Struthio camelus: one gene and its partners. The protein of the gene in region 1 binds, or shares a complex with, the protein of each later gene. Links are inferred from orthologs where the notes say so. Each region holds a gene or a part of one and is shown in the gene's direction. Other genes may lie near its edges.

The links.
Region 2: the proteins of BMPR2 (region 1) and INHBB are in contact, whole or in part, in a crystal structure (PDB 7U5O), measured with the Homo sapiens proteins. The link is inferred for Struthio camelus from reciprocal best matches to the Homo sapiens genes BMPR2 and INHBB. Residues at the interface, in NP_001195.2 of Homo sapiens: Tyr40, Tyr67, Leu69, Val80, Lys81, Trp85, Ser86, His87, Ile88, Gly89, Asp90, Gln92, Ile108, Gln109, Tyr113, Phe115; in NP_002184.2 of Homo sapiens: Phe309, Asn318, Asp319, Ile322, Ala323, Pro324, Gly326, Tyr327, Tyr328, Thr379, Met380, Ser381, Met382, Leu383, Phe385, Asp386, Asn390, Ile391, Val392, Lys393, Asp395, Ile400.
Region 3: the proteins of BMPR2 (region 1) and BMP10 are in contact, whole or in part, in a crystal structure (PDB 7PPA), measured with the Homo sapiens proteins. The link is inferred for Struthio camelus from reciprocal best matches to the Homo sapiens genes BMPR2 and BMP10. Residues at the interface, in NP_001195.2 of Homo sapiens: Asp38, Ser64, Tyr67, Leu69, Lys81, Cys84, Trp85, Ser86, Ile88, Gly89, Asp90, Pro91, Gln92, Glu93, Thr103, Thr104, Pro105, Pro106, Ile108, Tyr113, Phe115; in NP_055297.1 of Homo sapiens: Tyr329, Lys333, Asp338, Ser339, Trp340, Ile342, Ala343, Pro344, Pro345, Gly346, Tyr347, Glu348, Glu395, Pro396, Ile397, Ser398, Ile399, Leu400, Leu402, Val407, Tyr409, Phe411, Ala417.

What each region holds. Positions count from the first base shown.
Region 1 is NC_090947.1:9,922,735-9,929,980, reverse strand, and holds the start of BMPR2 (bone morphogenetic protein receptor type-2), read left to right. Parts: upstream 1-4,203; 5' UTR 4,204-4,809; coding exon 4,810-4,885; intron 4,886-7,246. UniProt on the Homo sapiens protein: On ligand binding, forms a receptor complex consisting of two type II and two type I transmembrane serine/threonine kinases.
Region 2 is NC_090947.1:32,194,632-32,201,750, forward strand, and holds the start of INHBB (inhibin beta B chain), read left to right. Parts: upstream 1-4,055; coding exon 4,056-4,464; intron 4,465-7,119. UniProt on the Homo sapiens protein: Inhibins and activins inhibit and activate, respectively, the secretion of follitropin by the pituitary gland.
Region 3 is NC_090968.1:2,685,048-2,692,153, reverse strand, and holds the start of BMP10 (bone morphogenetic protein 10), read left to right. Parts: upstream 1-4,004; 5' UTR 4,005-4,155; coding exon 4,156-4,489; intron 4,490-7,106. UniProt on the Homo sapiens protein: Required for maintaining the proliferative activity of embryonic cardiomyocytes by preventing premature activation of the negative cell cycle regulator CDKN1C/p57KIP and maintaining the required expression levels of cardiogenic factors such as MEF2C and NKX2-5.

The sequences.
Region 1 (7,246 bases):
CTTAGGAGTTTGTACTCACAAATGTTTTCTTTTTTTGAAGGCTGGATAGTTGCTGCTCTTTTCTGTGTTTCAGAGACAAAGGGGGAAGAAAAAAAAAAAAAAAAGACATAATAGTCTTCAGACGGGCTTTTTTGAGTCCAAAGGCCAAAAGTAACGTCTGGCACAGATTATCTGACTGGACTAAAGGGGAAACGAGTTCCCTCCGAGGCAGGAATTCAGTCTGCCGTTTCCTTAAAGCTGTGGGTCGGCTGGCGAGAGCGAGAGCCTGCTCTGCCACGTGCTGCCGCCACCGGAGGCTTGATGGGTTTATCTCCCATCTTGGCAGGACAGACAGGGCTGTCGCTGGTGGTGCTTTTCCTTCCTGTGAAGAAAACCGGAAAGTTTCCCTCACAAAGGATTTTTCCAAGGTTTTGGGCGGTCGTTTCCCCCGTGGGCTGCGATGCCCCCATCCCGGCTATTTGCCGCCTTGGTGTCCCTCTTTGGAGGAGTCGGTTTCCTCAAGGCGAAGCCGAGCCCCGGAAAGGGGATGGAAACCAACCCCCTCCGTTCAGACCAGGTGACGGTGGCGCTGGAAAATCTGTCCGCCCTAGAGAAAGGCACTTCTGGATCCAGATCACTCCTGAAGTCCCCGGGGTGTTCACTATTTCTCCTTTAATGACGGTCTTCCCATAGCCACCCTCGTTTTTGTGACCTTTCACTCCCGGGGGAATAATGGGGGCGTCTCGGTGCGACACCCCGGATTTGAAGCCGATGGGAAAAATCTGTGTGAAATAGGTAGCCCGATACCTACAATGGCAACAGCGTCTGTGTGTGATTACTTGTTTAGCTGCAATGGCTGAAGCTTTTCGCTGCTAACTCAGCAGACTGCAAGGAGCAGACAGTATTGTCTTTTTGGCTTGTTCTGGCTGCAGTTCAGGATGTTAATAATAATCTGGAGAGCTATGTAAGCCTGGGATGGCAGCTATCGGCAAGCCCCTCTCTCTCGATGCGCTGCTGCAGGAGGTGAGATCAGGGAAGATGATCTTGCTGACAGGTTCCTAATTTAGCAATGAGTGGCAGGCGTTTGCAGCGGAGACCCACACCAAATCCATTATTTATGAAGATACTGCCTGGGGTCCAGGATGGGAGTATTTATTTGTAGGAAAGTCTGTGAACATCTTGATTGTTATTGTTTTAAGGTTTGTTTATGCATCACCGTCAACGCTATGGGGATGCTTTGTTTTTAAAGAAACAAAAAATCTCTTAAAAACAAAGCACCGGGCAGTGTTGTTGTCCTCTCTCCCCAGCATTTATGACAGCATTGAGAGAAACACCCTGGGCAGGCTGATGGGCAGCCAAGTAAAATTTATAACTTATTTTAAAGAGATTTGTTGACATCATGAAAGGCCTTGTCAAAAAGAGCACTCCCCCGAGTCCTAACAACGATAATGGCTGTATGGCGTCAGCACTGAAATACTCTTGGATAACAGCGAACCTATCCCGAGAAATATTTGCAATGTTCCTGAAAATTGTGTTTTCTAAAAAGGAATAGGGCAGGTTGTTTTGGTTTTCTTAATGCTTTGATTTTATTTTCCACTGATTGGAATATTCACTTGGAAGCACAAAAGTAAGATTTTCTATATGCTGGGTAATTAAAAAAAAAAAGTGTTGTTTAAAGGAGACACTGCTAACAAGGACACGTGTAATTACTGTCATGTACAATCTTGAATTTGCAAGTGATACCAATATGTTTGCATGTGCATCGGTATGACAGCAGGAAATATCTGAGGTATACATCCGCCTTATTTCCCACTTCAGCGTCTCACTCGAGCATGGAAGCAGCGTAAAGGGCAGCTCCAGTAAACTGGATGCGGCCGTGTCATTTAAAGCTCCCTCGCCCCGGGGCAAGACAGACGTGCCCTGCAGCGGAGGTGGTGCACATCAGCCTGACATCTCAGGGAGCTCGCAAACGCGGTAGCCTGGCGCCGGCGTCTCTGCCCTCCTCGTGCCCTGCCTTGAACGCGCGCCCTCGTCCTGCCTGCTTGCGAGCACCGCGGATGATAGCTGCGAAAGGGTAAGGCCTGTTCTCCTATCCCTATTTTTTTTTTTTACAGTCTTTTCAAATTAAGTTCAATCTTGTTGTTTCACGGGGCTAAGTTCTTCCTGGTGGAAATACAGTGCTTCAGCAGAGCATCTTCCTTTGAAATCTTGGTAAGTTTTAGGAGGTTTTCTTGGCCTTCTCTCTCCTATCCTTGTTTGGACCAACGCTGAATATTTAAGTTGCTGCAGCTTGGTAAGTTTTCATTATTCTAAGTATTTTTCTGTCGGTCTCATTTGGCATCGCTGCACATTAGGCTAATGAAATGCTAGCATACAGTTAAAACAATATCAAAGAAAGAATGGTAAATATGCCTTTGTCCAAGCAGATAGCAATAAGTGAGCCTGGGAATGACAGTTTAGGTCTCTGGTTTCCTCCCACCACTGTGGGAAAAGGAAGCTGCCTCTGTGCTTAGACAGCAGCAACTGCTTCCTGCGTCTGCGTGGCAAAAGGGGCGTTGGTGCATCCTGGGGCCGGAGAACCGGGGCTTCGGCAGCCCCACGGCTCCGGCGCCCACGCTGCACAGGAAGGCACCTGGCCCCGGGCAGGGGCAACGTCTTCCAAAAACTCCTCAGGGTTAGGTAGGGAAGGAGGCAAAAGCCTTGCAAGGTGCTGGGGACGTGGGTCCAGGAGATCAGACCAAGGCCCTCACCCAGGTGAGGGCTCAAGCTCAAGCGAAGCAGATCCACAGCTGCGGTGAGGTCTTTTGCAGGCCCATGCATCTTCTGGGTCAGGGCCTGTGTTTGTCTGAAGCTGTGAGGAAATTACTGTATTAAAATTGGCCTAAGCCTTGTTTCTTCTTTACAGAGAAACAAAACACAACAAAAACCCAATCCGCTCTCTGGAGAGAAAAAAAGAAAAGTAAGTATTTTAAGGCATAAAACTATTTTATGTGATTCCTTGTGAAGAAGTGCCAATATTAATTAACGGTCCAAAACTACAGCTATTAAAACCAGAGGGAATTTTGTCTTTACTTCAGGATGAGCCAGTTTCAATACATGTCATAAACAATTACTGTAATTTTCTTTTAACCATCCAAACAGTGAAAGTGCTGCGTAACCCGCCTGGTTACGTTCTTGTTTTCCACGAACAGAGTCGATCTGGCTGCTTTCACGGGCGGAAAGCGCGTTGCACAGTTAGGTGTCTGCACCAAACTAAACGCTGGATTTTCCGCCCCGCGGAAAATACTCCCGTGTCGGTGTGCTGTCCTCTCTCGGGGGCAAAACCTGTTGTTTGGCTGGTTTCTAAAGGTTATTTCTTGACAGTTCACGTTCCCCACACAAGAGGAAGGATATGGTGGTTAGCATGTGGTTACAATTCTGGCGAGTGGCAATACCAGTTACCATCTAGGATTCCCTCTGTCATCCTCCCCCATCCCCCCCCCCCCAAATATCCACGGTAAATCTGCATGGATTAGGAGTAAAAACAGGGTGACCAGCTCTTAAAAATCGCGGGTAGCTGTCAGCCGCGCGACCTTCAGCTCCGACGTTAGCAAGGTCAGGCCACGCCGCGTCCGGCCGGTGTAGCACAGGTCGTGCTAGGCTTGATTTTAATTATTCTGTTAATGATTCTGCTGCGAAGGCGAGCACCAGGCCTCAAAAAGCAGCAACGCAGCGTAACAACATGGAGGCGCGGGCGGGGCGCTGCGGGGCCTTTCTCTACCTGCCCGGAGGCCTACCTCTATGGTCGGCGCGAAAGGGGGGGGCGGGGGCGGGGCCCGGGCGGTGCGCGGCGCGGCCGTTGGGGAGGGGGCGGGGCCGGGGCGGGGCGCCCGCGGGCCGGGCGCCGAGACTGGCAGTTGGAGCGACTCCCCTTTGTGTCTGGTGCGGGAGCCGTTGGGGCCGTTGGGGCGGGAGGGGGCGCGAGCCGCGGCGGGGGCCGCGCGGCGCAGCGGAGGCGGCGGCGGCGGCGCCCTCCCCGGGGCTGGGAAGGAAGGAGGCGGCGCGGAGCTGCCCCTCGCCGGCGGTGGCAGCGCGGAGAGCCGCGGGGAGGAGGAGGAGGGAGCTCGCGCCTCGCTCGCCGCTGGAGCCGCCGAGGAGCGGCCTCGCCGCCGTCGGGGCGGCCGCGGGGGCAGGGGCGCGCGGCCGAGCCCGCAGATGGGCCGCGGTGCCGCCGCGGCCCTCGCCGTCAGCGCGGCCGCCTCCCGCCTGGCCGCGCAGCGCCTCGGCGCGTCTCTCCTTCCCCAGGCGCGGAGCGGAGGGAGGAAGGAAGAGCGAGACCTTTAACTGGGCGGGATGCCCCTCTGCCTCGAGCCGTTGGAGCTTGCTGGCGGCGTCCTGAGGCGAGCGTGAGGCGGCTGCTAGAACTGACGGTCGTTAGACGTTTCCCCGCGCCTGGATATGTTCGCTCCTACACCCGGCTGTTTCTTTGATATCGTGAAGCTGCGTGGGAAATAAGCTCGGTTCCCAGAGCGAATCGCGAGAATCGCCCCTTCCCTGGGAGAAGGGAAATGCCTTTGGGCTTGCAGGCAGAAACGGGCTTTCCCCCCGTTCCCCAGAAGAAGCGTTGCCGCTTCCCGAGACATGAAGGCAGCCTGGTGTAATGGAGTAAGAGCAGCAGCGGCCCCTCTCCTCTGCCGTTTGCCCTTCCAGACTGGATTGTAAACCGGGAGAGTTCAGCAAGGCTGTTTGAAAAAAGAGAGAGAGAGGAGAAAAAAAAAAGAGGAAATTCCTCTTGTCGTTTTTATTCTGTTATTTTTCCTCCTTCTGCCTCGGCCCTTGGCTTCCCCAGGTATGACTGCCTCACTGCAGCACCTTTTGCTGGTGCTCCTGCTCTCCAGTGCCACCCTGCTGCTCAGCACTGCGGCTGGTAAGTAGCCGGGGGGGGGGTACTGAACTAGCCATTTTGGCACGGGGAAGGGGGTGGGGTCCGCCGGCATTTGCACCCGTCTGGGTCTGCTGAAGGAGCGGCGTGCATGCATGCATGCATGTCAGCCGCCGAGCCCGAGGAAAGTTCCTCAATCCCGATACCTTAACCGTCTTTGAAAATAAAATCTGCTTTATTGTGTAAACGAGCTCGACCTGCGTTCGAGATGTGTGTTTTGTCTGGATCCGCTTCCCTTGTCTGATAACTTGCTTCAATTTTGGAAAAAAATATATAATCTTTTTGTTTTGCATACCTAGCCCTTTGTAAGGTAAAGCAGGGATTTTTAATATATATTTTAATCGGCAGCGGAGCTGTGCCTGTTTTGCTGTGGGATCTTTTGGGCACAGCCATTTTTAATTTTATCAGCATCGCTGCTTTTAGGGGCCTTAAACATGTGCTGCAGTTTTATGACAGACTTACTAGGACACATTTCTTTTCTTGGGGGAGAAGTTTGAAACAAAAACGTGGCGATTTCTATTGTCATTTGTGATTACGGAATAGTAACAAAAACGCTGTTGAAGAATACTGAAAGATCTTCAAGTCAGTGTTCTTTTTTAACAGTGACTTAGAGGCGTGTGTTCTAAGAGCATCCTTATGCTTATTTGGGGGCGTTTAGGTCCGCTTTTGATGTTGCTTGGAGGCTCAGTGTTAGATACATAGGATATTTGAACATGATATTGGAAGAGAGATCAGTATTGCACTGGCATCCTTTGGTTTTCTGTCATGGTGACTGATGAGCACGTAGGAGCTTTCTGAGTGTTACCAGCTTTGTTAGGCGCTAGGACTGATTCTTCTCAGTGTATATGTTTTCAGCAGTTCTGGAAGACTCTTAGGATTTTGGCATCTTTTAATAATCAGGAGCTAATTTTGAATGCCCACTCTTGTCAGCATTGTTTTTGCAATCTGATGTGCCTAGTTCATAGATGAATCCTTATGGGAAAATTGCTATATCTTGCTAAGGTGACCTAATAAGATGATGGTAGTTTCTGTATTACATTCTAGTGATTTGTTTTAATTGAATTATTATCAGTGTTGAAAATACTCGGTGTCATTATTTGGAAAAGCCTGTCCATTAGACATGTTTAGGTAGTTTCTTTATTGCTCTGACAGTCCCTGATTTCCTCACTTCTGCTTTTTTTAAGAAGTCTCTTTGGGGAAGATATTAAAATGAAATGATTGACTTTGCCTACATCAGCCTGACCTTTGACTGTTGATATTTTAGACTGATACCTGCTCTATCTGTCTGTGATAATTTCTTCAGAGTTTTTTTTTTTTGGGGGGGGGGGCGTTTTTTGAAAAAGGGACTTTTGAAGGTCGAAAGCCTTTGTATTAAAGTGTGGATGAGTCAAGAACGCCAAGTATCTAACCTTTTCTCTTAAATATAATTTTTAAAAAGCGTGGGCTTTTTTTCAGTTTGGAAAAACTTCAGTGAATTGGTAATTCCTTTATTCTGATGAGGGAGAAGGGCTACTGAAGGAGAGGCAGTGCCGATTTGAACCAGGCCAAGGGCTGGGCAGGTGCAGTACGAGCTCAGTTGGACGGTTTTGCCCGTTCACCTCAATCCTGACCTGTCAACAGCATTCCTATTATTTCAGTTCTGGTTTTGTTTTGTAAAAAGAGTATTAATGATGCCAGCTTGTTTAGTTGTCTTGTGAACAGAAACCGGTTTTCCCATTGTGATTTATTTCTTAATTGTGAAATTGTAACAATCTGTGTTATAAAGCCTGGGTCATAATCCTCTGTAAGAGTAATTATATGAATGATTTGAGCTTTACTTACAGTCAACCATTAGTAACTTTAAGTTTATACTACATTTCAGAAACAAATGGCTATACATGGGGAAGCTACACTAATGTGTAATTCTGCCCTTTTATGTTCATGAAAGAGCCAACACTATTTCTTCTCTTCCCCACCCCTCCCCCTGAAGTATGAACTGTATACTCACATCACGGTGAAAATGCTGGCTTTATAGCTTTGAAAACCTCGGTTAACTGCTACTTCTCATTAGTGACTAGATCCTGTGTCTCAGCACTATATAAAATTGAGTGTTGATAAACGCAAAGAGGGAAAGTACTTGCATAGATTGGTAAATTTCCGTCTCAGGAAGAACGCTGAGACATCCTTGAGGTAGCTCACCAAAGCCCTGCACTCAAAATATGGTCAGGAAAGGAAGGCTGCTGAAGTGCATGAAGAAAGAAAATCATGTAGTGGGGCTGTTGATGACTGTTTCGCTCATAATCTGGAGCATGAATGAAGATGGGATGTGGTTCTTCCTTCACCTTGGCAATCAAAGCTATAAAGAAT
Region 2 (7,119 bases), about 22 Mb from region 1:
AGCCTTATGACTCAATCAATAGGCCATGCTCTCTGAGCAAGATTAGAAACCAAATGGCACATTTCCTTCTGTTAACCCTGTCTGCTTTCCCTGTAGGGTTTTCTGCCTGAAAGCATCTCAGGTTTGCTTGAGTTCTCTTCTAGGAGGAAAGCCAGAGATAGTCCATTGTTTGAGAGCTGCCTTCAGAATTGCGTTGGACAGACTTTAAACAACAATAGCATTTATTGGCATATTTGTTTGTTAGTAATTGCTATATAAGATAAGCCTCTCAATATTTGAATATGCAAAAAGTCCTTAGCTAACCCCCACCCCCCAAAAAGATTACTATATTTAAAAAAGAAAATCTCTACCCTGCTCAGAAATACCTTCCCAGTTTCATTATCTCCACTGAAGACATGATTTTTGCCTCTTTGGCGTTTCATTTTCACTGGGGCAATGAAAGTGGTTGTTTTCAAAGGGAGAAGGACTGTGTTTGCACCTATTTCTTGTTTGACAGTGACCTCTGTGAACCAGTCATCACTGCTCTGCCTGTTGTTTTCTTGTTAGCTCTTTGCTGTCAAATTAATTACTGTGAAGTACTAAGCTTGTTGCATTCACGTGCTCTTATTAGCTTACAGGATGTCAGAGTGATTGGATTTTTAGCCTTATTTCTTTTTTTACATTCTAGGCTTTCCATTCAAAACCTGTTAATGGCAGGGAGGAAATACTGTATCTAAATCTGATCTCACATCAGGGTAGCTGCACTGATACAGAGAATTTACTTTGATTTACGGTGCCATGTATGAAATTAGATTGTGTTTGTATTAAAAACAACACAAACAATCAGATTGGGATTGTAATATGATTTGGAACAACAGCATTAAATGCTTGTCTGTGCTTTTGCAGTACAAAACAAGAAAAAAAATACATGATAATATGGAGTAGCATTTGTCCCTTAAATTCTTAAATCACGCTAACAATCTGATCCTCCAGCTGACTCTCTTTATGCTCTTGTCTTGCTTGCATTGGTAACAGCAGAGCTCACCACTACATGTGTGTGCAGTCGAGAGATACGTAAGTTTTATTCTTCTTTTAAAAACTGAAATGCACAGCAAAAGTTTAAGGGGCTTCTTTGGTGTCATGCAGAAAACGTGTGCGTCCGGGTTCTGCCCCTTGAAAACCAGGATTCGGCGCAATGAAAAAAAGATGAAGGTTTTTAGATTTGTTTTCATTCTGTAAATTATATTTTCGTTCGTTGGAAAAACCCACGTAATCAGAAATAGTGGCTCGGCTGCCTGAGCACACACCTGGGCAGTGGGAGGCTCAGGCCAAAGCTGCTCCTTTGCTTAATTCGGAGCGCAGATTTGGGCGTGCATCTCCCCTTTCCTAGGCAAACCCGACCCGGCTCCCACCAACGGCTGCAGCAGCAGCGGCGCGGCCGCGGGTGCCCGGCGCGATGCAGCGCAGGGGCGCTGCCCCCCGCCCCGGCAGCGCCCCTCAGCCTTTGCCCCCGCCCTCGCCCTTCGCCCCCCGCGCCGCGCCGCGCAGGCTGCAGCGGAGCCTCCGCGGCGCCGGGTCCGCTCCTGCCGCAGGCCGGGCTCCGGCGCGGCGCTCCGCCCGCTCAGCCTCCGCGGCCGCGGACTGCAACGCGGCTCCCGACCCGCTTCCCCGGCGCCCGCGGCGCGGCGCTGCGCGGCTCTGCGCGGCGCCGCCGCCCGCTCGCGGCGCGGCCCAGAGGGGGCGCCCTTTGCCCAGGCTTCCCCGCCGGCGGCGGCGCGCAGCGGCCGCGGGGTAGCGCGCAGCGGCCGCGGCTCCCCGAGCGCCGCGTCCGCCCCCGCGGGCCGCGCCGGCGGAAGGGGACGGCGCGGGGGACGCCTGGCCGCGGCCTGCCTGCGCGGTGCTGGGGGTGCGAGGGCGCTGTGCCGCGGAGGGGCGCGCAGCGCGGCTGGCTGCAGCGCCCGCGGACCGGGTCCGGCGAGAAGCGGGCGGGCTGCCCCCGGCTCTGCCCCGGGCGGCCGGGCGTCGGGGGAAACCTCTCCTGACCTCGCTGCGGGGGCGGACCGCAGCCCTGCGCCCCCCCCCCCCCACGGCGCTGGGGCGGCCCCCACGCAGCAGCGGGAGGAAAACGCGCTCCCCCGCCGCGGGCAGCGCGATGTTCCCGTTATCTCCGCTCCGCGCAGCCCCGGCGGCTGCCTCGCCGCGGAGCCGCCCCCCCCCCCCGGGACCGCCCGCCTCCCGCCGGGCTGCGCACCCCTCCTGCCCCACGGAAAACACAATGCCCGGCACCCGCCCCGTTCAGACAAACAAACAAACAAAAACCCACCCCGTCGCAAAGCCAACCCGCCGGTAAACTTTCTAATGACTTCTTCTGTCAAGGGCGTAAAAGGGGCGCACCGAGGGCTGCCTCCGTCCGTGCGCGGTCCGTGCGCGCCGCCCGGGTGCCGGGCCGCGGCCGGGCGCGGTGCGCGGTGGGTGTGTTTGAGGAACCGCCAGGGAGGGAGGGGACGGGGGGAGTTAAAGAAACAGCATAGTTAATATTTCCACATCGGGAAGTTACTGTAATAGCCCAGGGGGCAAAAGACTTAACTTAATCTCCTAAATAGTGAGGAACCCATGGCGTCTCTGTTATAGGTTGGAGTTCCCACGTGGTTTTAACTCCTGTATAAAAGTTTCAGTAGAAAGTGCCACAATGTCGTGATTTTGCAGGGGGGGAAAATTAGCAGGAGGAGATCAGAGGAAGATAAGCGAGGAGCAAGCCGCTTCCCCGAGACCTTCCACTGCGGATCCGAGAGAACATCAGACGCGTTAAAAACAAAACAAAACAAAACACAGCGTTCAAGCCAGCACAAGGCGAGCGAAAGATCAAAAAGACGCGGAAAGAGAGAGGGAGAGAGACAGACAGATTAACTGGAGCAGCAGCAGCAGCAACAACAACAACAAAAACAACAAAAATCACACTTAATAATAATCATAATAATAATAATAATAATACCCCAAACCATCAACAAGGGAGATACTGTTTAAAAAGAGCGAGCGAGGGAGCGAGCCGAAGAGCTGGTCTGACCGAGTGGATCCGTGCAGCTACTCCTGGGAGCACCGGGACCGCGCCGACTCCGCGCTCGGCGGCCGCGCGGGGCCGCGCCCGGGACCCCGCCGCAGCATCCGCGCCGGACTCCGCACCCTCCGCGCTGATATTCAAATAAAGCATATCTCTAATAATAACCTGGCGGGGTGAAGAAGACTCGCAACCGTGGATCTGCTAGCCGTATACCTCCTCTCCGCTACCCCCCACCTCCCCGCGCCTCTCCTCCCAAATTATGCTCCAGGTCAACTTTGATCGCACGTTGAGAAGCAGCAGGCGCTAAGGGCAAACTACCGAGCCGGAGAGGAGCGGAGCCGACCTGCACCCACGGCCTGTGGATTGTTGTCTTGCGGGGGCGGAGTGGGCGGGGGGGTACAAGCAGCATTTCTTCCCCCCCCCCTCTTCCCCGGCTATAAATTGGATTGTGTATAAATCTGCTCCGTTTATCTCCCCGATCCCCCTCCATGACGCCGGACTGAGGAGCGGCTCTCGGCGGCCCGCCCGGACGCTGGCGAAGCGAGCGATGGACCAGGAGCGGCGGCGCTCGGGGATGCCCCTGTGAAGCGGCGCCGGGCTCCCGGGGCAGCTCGGCGGCGCCTCCTCCCTGCCTGCCCGGCTCCCCTCGCAGCCTCCCGGCTCGCCCGCCGCTGCCCCCGCCCTTCTCCCCGGCCGCCGCAGCCACCCCCTCACCTGCTGCCGGCCCCCTCCCCCGTGGAGCCGGGCTCGCCGTGCGCGCCAGCCCGCCGCCCCCCCCCCACCCCGGCTTAGCCCTCGGTGCCTGCGTGGGCAGCCTCCCCCCCGGCGGCGCGCACCGCTCGGCCGGCCGCCCCCTCCCTGCGGCCCGGCTCCCCCCCGCCGCGGAGCGGTTGCGGCCCCCCGGCTTGGCTGCCACCGCCCCCTCCGCGCCGCGGAGCGCACGGAGCGGCGCTGCCTGCAGACGGGCTCCCTGCGGCGCATCGCGGCGGCCCCCAGCTCGGCCCCCCGCTCCTCCGCCATGGACGGGGCGGCTCGCCGGGGGGTGCTGGCCGCGCTGCTGGCCTGCGGGCTGCTGCTGCTGCTGCTGGGCGCCGAGGCCACCCCGACCCCGCCGGCCCCCGCCGGCGGCTCGCCGCAGGACACATGCACCTCCTGCGGCTTCCGGCGGCCCGAGGAGCCGGGCAAGGTGGACGGGGATTTCCTGGAGGCGGTGAAGAGGCACATCCTGAGCCGGCTGCAGATGCGGGACCGGCCCAACATCACGCACGCCGTGCCCAAGGCGGCCATGGTCACGGCGCTGCGCAAGCTGCACGCCGGCAAGGTGCGGGAGGACGGCCGCGTGGAGATCCCCAGCCTGGACGGGCAGGCGAGCGCCGGGCCCCCGGCCCACGACCCCGTCTCCGAGATCATCAGCTTCGCCGAGACAGGTGGGCGCCGCCCTGCCCCTCTTGCCTGTCCCCTCCGTGTCCCGCCTGTCCCCCTGCCCGTGCCCCTGCCCGTCTTGCCTCTTCCCCTGCCTTTCCTGCTTGTCCTCTGTCTGCCCTGCCACCCTCCCTGCCTGTCCCCCGACCATCCTCCTGCCCGACCCCTGGCAGTCACCCTGCCCGACCCCCTGCCCGCCTTGCCGGCTCCTTTCCTTTCCCTGTCCGTCGCCCCGCTGACCCTGCCTGTCCCCCTGCGAACCCTGCCTGCGCGCTCTGCCTGTCCCCCTGCCTGACCCCGGCCGTTCCCTTGCCCGTCCTTGCCTGTTCCCGCGGCCTGTCCCCCTGCTCGCTGTGGGCACCCGGCTGCTGGGCTCGTCTGCATGTCCCCCACCTCTCCCGCTCTCCCTTCTGCCCTGCACCACCTTGCCCTGGCCCTGCCTGCCCCTTTCCGTCCTCTCCATGTGCACCCCTGTGCCCAGCTGCACCCTGCAACTCCAGCTGTCACCTGGCCTCCTTGTCCCTGCCTTCTCCCCCGCAACCCCGCTAGCTGCACCCGCTGCTTGCCTTCAGGCCCTGTGCGTCCCACTGTCCCTCCTCCGCCTGTCCCACTCCATCTCCTGCATCCCTCGCCTCGTCTGTCTGCCCTGCACGTTCATCTGGTTCGTTGCATGCGTCCGTCTGTTGAGACGTTCCTTCGCCTTTCCTCCCTTTCCATTCATTTCCCATTTATTTAGCTTTTGTTCGCAGTGTTGGCCTTGCCTGTCTGTCCACTGCGTGCAGCTTCCTGCCCACGACATGTCTACCCCTCTCTGTCCACCCATTCGTTTACAAACTGTGCCATCCATCCCTCCGCAGTATCGGCCATCTCTGTCCGATCCGGCCATTGCAGTTACGTGTCAACTGGATCCCTTCAGCCCAGCTTCCCATCCGTTTATGCAGGCAACCGCTGTGTCTGTGAACTTTGCACATCTGGCCGTTAACACCATCACTCTGCAAATTAGCTCTCTCTTGTCTATCTGCCCATCTCTCCTTTCCTTCATCAGTCTGTCACTCAGTTCATTGCTTTCTCTATCTTCCTGTGGCATCTATATCTCATTTGTCCACAAAATAAATCTCTCTCTATTCTGTATACTGCCCACTCATCTTCTTTATCTACCCTCCCACCCAAAGCATATACATTTACAGTATCTGTGGGATCTGTTGCATTACACATATGCTTGTTATATTCACATACAAAATTTATGGGCACACACGTTCTCGTACAACACAAGTAATGTGTATTGGTGCAACAACACTGTACTGTTCTTTTTCTGTCACTGTCATCACAGTTTATAAAGAAGTTGTGTATTTGCTAACGTACGGACGGTTTTCTCAGCATGTATTTTTGGTTTTATTATGCTTTAATAGGCCGTTGTTACGAGATCTGTGGTAGGCTTGTAGTTCCATTTGGTATTCAGTTAATTGCTTGCCTTTGTAACACTTCCAAATCTACTCTATGTAAAACATAGGCAGACACAGTGAAAATTTTTGTCCCTGAAATATTACAAGGTACCAAATGGGCCCTGGAGGCACATTTGAACGGCATCTAGAGTAACAAATGAGGACACTGACTACGTAAAAAATCCCATTCAGAGGCTGACAAAAATGATAAAGATTCTTAGGAAAACAAAAAGAAGAACAATCTGCGTTTGGCTCAGTACGGAAAGAAGTCAAACGGATAAGGGCAGATGAGAAAATGCCTTTCCTGCAATAATTTTGAGTAGCCATCGGGAGGGTTCGATTCAAGCACCAGAATTACAGCCTCCATTGGAAAGGCCAGCTTGCACATTTATCACCTACGCCAAATTTAGTTAGGACTTACAGTACAAAATTCCAGCAAGGACACCGGTATTTCTGAAACATTTCATGCAGCAGACTCTTTTGTTTACAAATAATGGGTTATGTCAGGCATTTGGTGACATTTGGTTTACTGTGATAATTTCACTCATTTAATTCTGGTGTTACTGAAAAGTATATTGAGAACAGTCAGTAATGATATTATGATGACAGCAACTGCTTCATTTGATCGCCTAGTGTGTGAGTTTATTTTTACGGGGGAAAATGCAAAGGTTGAAATTATTAATAGCAGATATTCTGCCAGTCTAAGCGGGGCATAGCTTAATTTGTTGAACAAGCAGGTTCGTTATTGAATGTTTTTTCCCCTCGATCTTGTGAACCCTCTCTGTTAAACTGAGACAAGAATATGTGAAAACTGAAACAAAATCCCTTGTTTGGCATTGACCTTTCAGTGGTTACTAAAGAGACTTTTCCTGTGAAAATCAGTGGATATCTGAAAGTTAAAACTATTCTTAAACTGACAAGATAGGAAAGTACAAATGCTGGTCTTTTCAAGGTACAGTTGTAACGTCTTTAAAGCTATCTAACTGGACAAATCTAGTATTCTGGAGAGCCTTTACTGGTTTCTGTGGATCTGACACGTTCAACTGTAGCCCGATTATGAACGTTACTGTGGGAAGTCCCTTTTCAATTCATTTCTATTACAAATTCTGGATATCTGATTCAGTGCATGCCTTCTGGCTGGTGCAGTCTTTTAGCTCTTTTGATCAGCTGCGTTCTAGTGTTGTTTCTGAATCCAGAATTGCACAAAAGCTACATTTT
Region 3 (7,106 bases), on another chromosome or scaffold:
TGAGGATGCTTAAAAAACACTTCACATTCTTTTTCCCCACTTCCTCTTACTCAGAGGAGCGTCACACCCTTTCAATCATTGTATATTGTCGACCTTGACACTTCGTAAAGCCCTGTTTCACTTTCTAGCCTTTCAGCACTGGGCTTGCTTCACACATTCCTGCTCAAACCCATGCTCTTCTGCTGCCTCTTGACGGAAGAAGCCGCGAAGGCATCGGCTCAGAGGAAGTTGTGGGGTGCCTGAGATTAGAGGCTATTTTGGAGCAGCACAACCTTTGGGGCTGACCCTTTCGACAGCTGAACTGTTCCCTGGAGTTGCTTCGTACCCTCGGCTACCGCTGGCATCAACTGCACTCACGTTCCTGCCTGATCTGCTCAGTGCCGTGGATGGGAAAGGGCCTCTCTTTGCTCTCTGGGCGTTTTTTATCCCTCCAGTTCTCACTGGGACATACAAATGGAGAGTGTCCAACCTATAAGGCCACCTCCACCAGAAGAACATTTTCCGACTTCAACAGGAAAGGCAAAACAGGAATTAAACAATGTTGTATGTGTGCTGAATGTTGCAGGAGCACTGCAGAAGCTCAGATTCTCATTAGCTACGTTTTCCTGTGTAAAACTGCAAATTCACAGCAGAAATAAACACAAACTTCATAGGAATGATGGCCAAGAGCCCTTTCTACAACTCTGCCTGCTTGATACATCATTTATTTCTAATGAAATGGGCTCATCATTTATGTTATAAATCTGATAACAATTAAACGGTAATGATTATTAATGTTCCTTCTCCAGCTGGCTCAGTTAATCTGTTTAGCATAGATTTCTTGAGGGCAGTTTCCTTTCCAGGGAAAGGCCAAACCTCTTCATTTCAGTGACATGAAATAAAACCCTTCTGTTAAAACATTTTAATTCAGCAAAAAATATGCATGTGTTAAATTCATCAGCCTACAACCTAAGGAAACAGGAAGCTGCTTTTATATCAGATATACTCTATGGGTACTGCTCATCTGGCAAATCCCCAGCAGGCTCTAAACTGAATAAGCTAAGAAATGCAGCAAAAGCTGGTTTGTATGTAACACAGCAGGCTGCATTGCCCTTTAGTATGCTATTGTTCATGGAGTTATCAAAACAAGAGTGGAAATGCAAAGAGCTGGAATGTCTGAGCAGTAATTGAGTTCCTACTGAGCCACTGAATCAAGATGACATATTTGTGGATTAGAAAATTTATGTCAGATCACTGTGTGCAGTTTTTACTTATGTATTTATGTCTGCAGGGTGTGAAATTACAGAATCGTAGAAAATACGTCTGGAGTTAGCAGAACTTAGAGAGGTCACTAGTCCGGCCTCTGCTCCAAGGCAGCGTCAGCTCTGCTTATGTCACGGCAGTTAAAGTAAAGCCGTTCAGTTTTGTCACCCAGCAAGCTGAAGTTGCGCAGCTGATTAAATTTTAATCTATGTTAAACAGGAGTGAACCTGGAAAAACTCCTCTGACTCTAAAATTGTTTATATGTTTAACACCAGAGTAACAAAGAGGAGAATCTGACTCAATGTGTGATTAAGGGCCAGATGCAGTCCTCAAAATAGCCAGTGCGCTCGTAGTGAGAGAGGAGATTCAACTAAAAATCTCAGAGCAAACACTCTAAAACTTTAAAATCAAAACCTTTACCTCTAAATCTCGTAGCAAACCCAAAACCCTCAGAAGGAAGCCATGCAGTACTCTACATCCCAGTGTTTACAAGCTCTGCAAGGCATATTTTCATGCCTGCTGCCTATGCATTCGGGCCCTTATTCCCGTTTGAGAAGAAGAAACAGCTACAAGCAAGCGCTAAGGATAAGGCTGTGAAGCGCTGAGAAGTTTCAGCACCGGTTGCCTTCCAACAGGCAGTAGCTCTTACAAGGTGCTTACCTCCTTAATTTTAAAAATATGGGCTTTTATATATGAAGTCAGTGCATTTCTGAAATAAATATTCAAGCATACAAATGACCTTTTGAAACCATTTCTGTAGGGACTATGCTCTTACTGCAAATCTACTACCTGCCCAAAGCCAGGCCAAAGACCTTGCTTTAGAGGAGCCAGTTATTGTGTTGCGGAAGAGTTAAGGCTACGCACCCTGCAGTCTTTTCTCCCCATTCTCAAGGTTAGTCTCATTTCCCTATGGAAGGTCCTTAGTTAAGCGTAGTGAGGTGATGAATCACCGACAAAAAGAAGATTGTGCTTTTCTAAGTTAATGAATAAAAGTGACCTGAATTCAGCTCCAAAATTTCCCTAAGTTTTTCTGTGCTTAGCTCTGGAAAGCCACAGGAGTCATAGGATGAGTCTTTGATAAGGCTGCAGAGGATTTATAGATAAGCTTGCACAGGTAACTGTGAAATCCACACTGAGATCTAAATTAGTCTTTCTAAGCGCAAATACCACTTCCAATGTACTGTAGCAATAGCAGAGACCTTGATAATGAGTTTAGCTTTTATTGTCAAGTTCTCCCTATTTAGCAGAAGAAGAGTTGTTGAATGAAACAAGTTTTAAAAGCTGGCTTTTAAACTGGCTGATGCCTGGCTCTGTGGCATTAATACTACTCATTATTTTCACAGACATGTATGTTAACATTTGTGAAAAAAAAAAATCCAGAAAGTTATAGAGTTGTGCTAACAAATGGCCGGACGTGCTTAGCCATAATGGAGAAGCAGAGTCCAGAAAACTCAGCAGATCTGTGGAGGTTTCCTCTTTGAGTTAAGCTCTGTAGTGCTTGCAGAGAGAAACTCAGCAGTGCTAATGAAAAGAGATTCTTTGCTTGTATGAGGCTCACATTTTGTTGAAATTTGCATGTTCTAACAGCAAAGTGCTACTAAACAGTTTTAGCATGTCTTTTTTGCAAAAACGTTCCCTCATTACCCACCTAATACCTCTGAGCCATTTTAAGTGATGCAAAGGTGAGTTGTGAAGAGTAGTCTGTGGGCCTGTGTGTATTGTCAGTCATTTTTAGACAATCTGACTGGGGGGTGCTGTGATTAAATGACGAGTAAGTGTAACCTGCCAAATCAGATAAATAAGGTACAGAAGAAAATAAAGATTTTAGGAACCATTTGCAAATATTGCAGTCCTCCCTCTGTTTCTGAGCATTTATATGGCCTACAGCACTGAGCCTATTCAGCTCAGACAGCTAGTGTTAATGTTCAGATCAGGAAAGAGGGCTCTGTAGCAAAAATAAACTCAGCAAAAAGTACTTATTACTTGCACTTTACCACTAAATTCTGTGGTGCCAGTGCAGGTGAGCGGTGTCTGCACAGAAGGAATCGAAGCCAAACTTTAAAAGCCGTGTTCTGCTCTTCCCTGACTTGTGCTCACTTTCTGTTCAAAAGGCTTTTTCCAGTGGAGCCCTCGCAAAGCACAGTTTCATAGTTGCAATGTGGGAGATCCTCCTCACCCAAATATATTGAGCTTATCTGCTCCTCTGCATTCAGGGCCTTGTGACCCCAACATTGTGGCAGTGCCTGGAGCTCTTCTCGTGTGCTAGATGCTGTACGAGCACAGAAGAACGGACTTTATCCCAATGAAGTTTCTTTGTAAGTAAAATATAAAGATTGAGCTCTACAATAGTTTTACAATGGGCGGTTCTGTTGTTTTAAAGGGGCTCTTCCTTGCTCTTGGTGCAGAATTCATAGGTTTGGATAGAGGCTCTGTAGAATTTACGCACTAGCTTGAAATCTGCGCGGCAAAAAGTTGGTCATACGTGCCAGAGAAAGTCGGCTACCAGGAGGCAGAAAGAAAGGGCAATTCCTCTCCGAGGAGAAACTTGTCCTATCTCCTAGTGTCCTAGCGCAGAATGTTTACAAAATGCTCATTAAGGGAAAGGGGATTGCGAGATAGCGACGAATCTGGTGAACAGCTTACACTCCACGAGATAAGAGAGGCAAGGCGACCATAGAAGAGAGCAAGCCATATCCAATTACCGAGACCTGGTTTTGGGGAGGGGGAAGGGTGAAGAAAAAGGGAGGGGGCAGGGGGAGAGAGACAGGACGGATCACAAGTTTCAAGACAAGAGCTTCCAAACTTGTCATCTCTCTGTGACACAAGCCGCGTACAACCCAGGGGATAAAACCGCCACTTAGCCCACATGAGAGCTAAAGCCTGTTGAGCGTGGTTGGAGGCTAGAGCGAAGTCATGGATTCTGTAGCTCTTCAGCTGTGGGCTCTCCTCTCTCTCTTGGTTCACCTTGCCTCTTGCAGTCCCATCCTGAGCTTGGAGCACTCTTCCTTGGAGGAAGACGTGCCACTTTTCGACGAGGTCCTCTCCGAGCAGGATGGTGTTGATTTCAACACACTGCTTCAGAATATGAAAAATGAGTTCCTGAAGACATTGAACCTCTCTGACATTCCCCTGCACGAAACGGCCAAGGTGGACCCACCAGAGTACATGCTAGAGCTGTACAACAAGTTTGCCACCGATAGGACGTCTATGCCATCTGCAAATATTATTAGGAGCTTCAAAAATGAAGGTAAGAAATGTGCTTCTCTAGGAGAACTAAATCGGAAAGGGTACTCTTACAGTCAGCGTGAAATAATATTTACCAGGTATGGAGCATGAACAGCACTAGGGGGAAAAAGGCCTTTCAGTGAAGAAGCCATTGGAAATAGGCAACTAACACCACATGTACAAATTTTATGCAGATCCCACTTTTTGTGAGATAGATCCTTTTTCCGTTGCTTTTGAGATTGTAAGGTTTTGAGGGAAGAAGATGTTTCTTTTATATCTGTACAGCACTACGCGTAATTTGGGTGTGTTTTCATTATCCTTGTAATCACACATATCATTTGCAAGAAGCTGGTTGATTTTTAGATGGATACCTTAAGTCAAATTTGAAATTAAGAGGAGAAATATTTTCACATGCCGTTCAAAGGTGCAGTATATGGCTTTCCATATGGCTATCCTTCCGCTATTGATCCTCATGGGGTTTGTAAAGTTTTCTTCCTTTGATGTCTGAGCATAGCCCAGCAAATACATAGAAATACATGAAGCTGAATTTGGATAAACTTTAGGTTTTACTTTGGCAGACTAGAATATTTCCTATTAAAAAAAAAAAGAAGAAGAAGAAGAAGAAGAACTGAAAAAAGACCAGTTGTGAGCTTAGGTGGTTCTCTCTATGTTTCTGCTTCAACATTTTCCCTCAGTTTAATGAGGAAAATATAACATTTCAGTGCTGACATTCAAATGTTTTTGTGTCAGTACCTATTTGCACCAATACAGGTAATATGTTAAAAGTATTTTTCAAGTAATCATTTCCAAACCTGAAATATTCCACTTTGCAAATACAAGTGCTTTGATTCTTTTTAACTACTCGGAGGTACGTGCAACTATTCAAACTGCTGTGGATCTTCTCTCATCCCTCATCAGTGTAATTAATGAATTATAATGCTGATTATTACTTTTTTCTGACATTCACAAATTCAAGATGACAAACTATCAGGAGAAGGCTGCGTACCAGTCATTTTGCTTTGGCAATGCAGTAAGGTGCCAAGACAGGATCCAGCAGTGCTGAACTGTTCTGCACTTCTGTCAGGCCTGGGCACCCTTTACCAGCAACACGTTTCTGGTTTGAAGAGGCCCTGCCTTGCAGTTTAAATCTTCTTTACATATTCTTTTTCTGCGGTGTAGTAATATGACATTACATTTATTGAAGGATTGACAGCAAACCAGTTACACCTGCTGGTGAACTGTTACTCATCTGAACAGCCTTGTCTGTAACTGATCATCAGCATAAATGAAGAAATATGCAGAAACAAATACTGTTCTTTTCTCATATTTCCACTATTCCGGAGAAATAAATCAGATAAAGTTTGGCAAGTACAATATGCTAAAGAACAAAATGCGGTGTGGTTTACTGAGGTAAATCTGCAGCCATTTCACTGGCAAGACTGAAATGGTTCCAGGTTTACAGTACTGAAAATGGTACAGACTGACCTATGGCCGGTAACGCATGCAGCAATTCACGATTCTGTGCCTTTCTGTAAACATTACGGAGATGTTCCATGGCTTTTTCATTGCTGCAGAAGTCTGCACCAGATAGGGTAAGCTTAGTGTAACTTTCTGTCGTTTCTGTGTTCCTCTCGTTTCTAATCCAAAACAGCAGATGCAAGGTGAGACTTGTTAACACATCGCCTTCATAAATGCATACAGTTACAGGGACTGTTGCACTTACTGTTTTTTATCTGTCTTGAAAGTCCATGAAGCTAAGAACCATTCATTTCATGCCTGAGGAGTTTTTTTTGTAGAGAAAGTGAATTACTTTCAATTATCAAGACAGTAGGAACAGAACATATCATGAAGTTTTCAATTCAGCTGCTTATTGAAAATTGGCAGTAACTTTATTTCATTATTATCCATTAAATTCTTTATTAACTTTGTTTTAACTGTAATGAGATTATAGAAATATAACATGCTGCACAGCTGAAAGCGGCTAGTCGTTTTAACCCATGGAGCATAATATCTCTATTGCAAATGGGACTATAATCGCCTACCATTTCTTAAAACTTGAATAAAGGTCTTAAGGTAATTTTTTTTTTCCTATAGACTCCAGATCACCCTTCCTGACCCTGTCAGGGGTGCACCAATAACTGTAAGAGAGATTTCACCCTATGGGTTTCCTAGCTAAAGAGCAAAGCCACATCCTGACTTATAAATGAACACTTCTCGCTCCCTGCTAGCACTCACCCAGCCTCTTACAGATGGTGTGGCCTTCCCCTCCTTCCTGGTGAATTACTTGAGCTCATCTTCTAGATGGTCCGGTGGCATTTCTCCACCCTACTATCGTCTGTAATGACTGCAGACTTGCTTTAGCATGCTGAGAGTTAGGAAATAGCAAAGGTTTCTTCCCGTTGCGAGGTTATGGCTGAAGCACTCCTGTGCTTGAGTAGCACTGCCTTTTAGCCTGCAGTCCATCCCACCCTGGAGCATATTCAACTCCCACCTTCATCAGTTGATGGGAAGAGAGAAGCAACCAGAATTGCTCTTTGTTTTTTTGTTTATGAATGGATGGTGAGGCAAACAAGAAAAAAACCCAGGCAGGTGCCTCAAAGCCCACTTCATGTCAGTAGGACAACTCCTGTGCTTGCTTA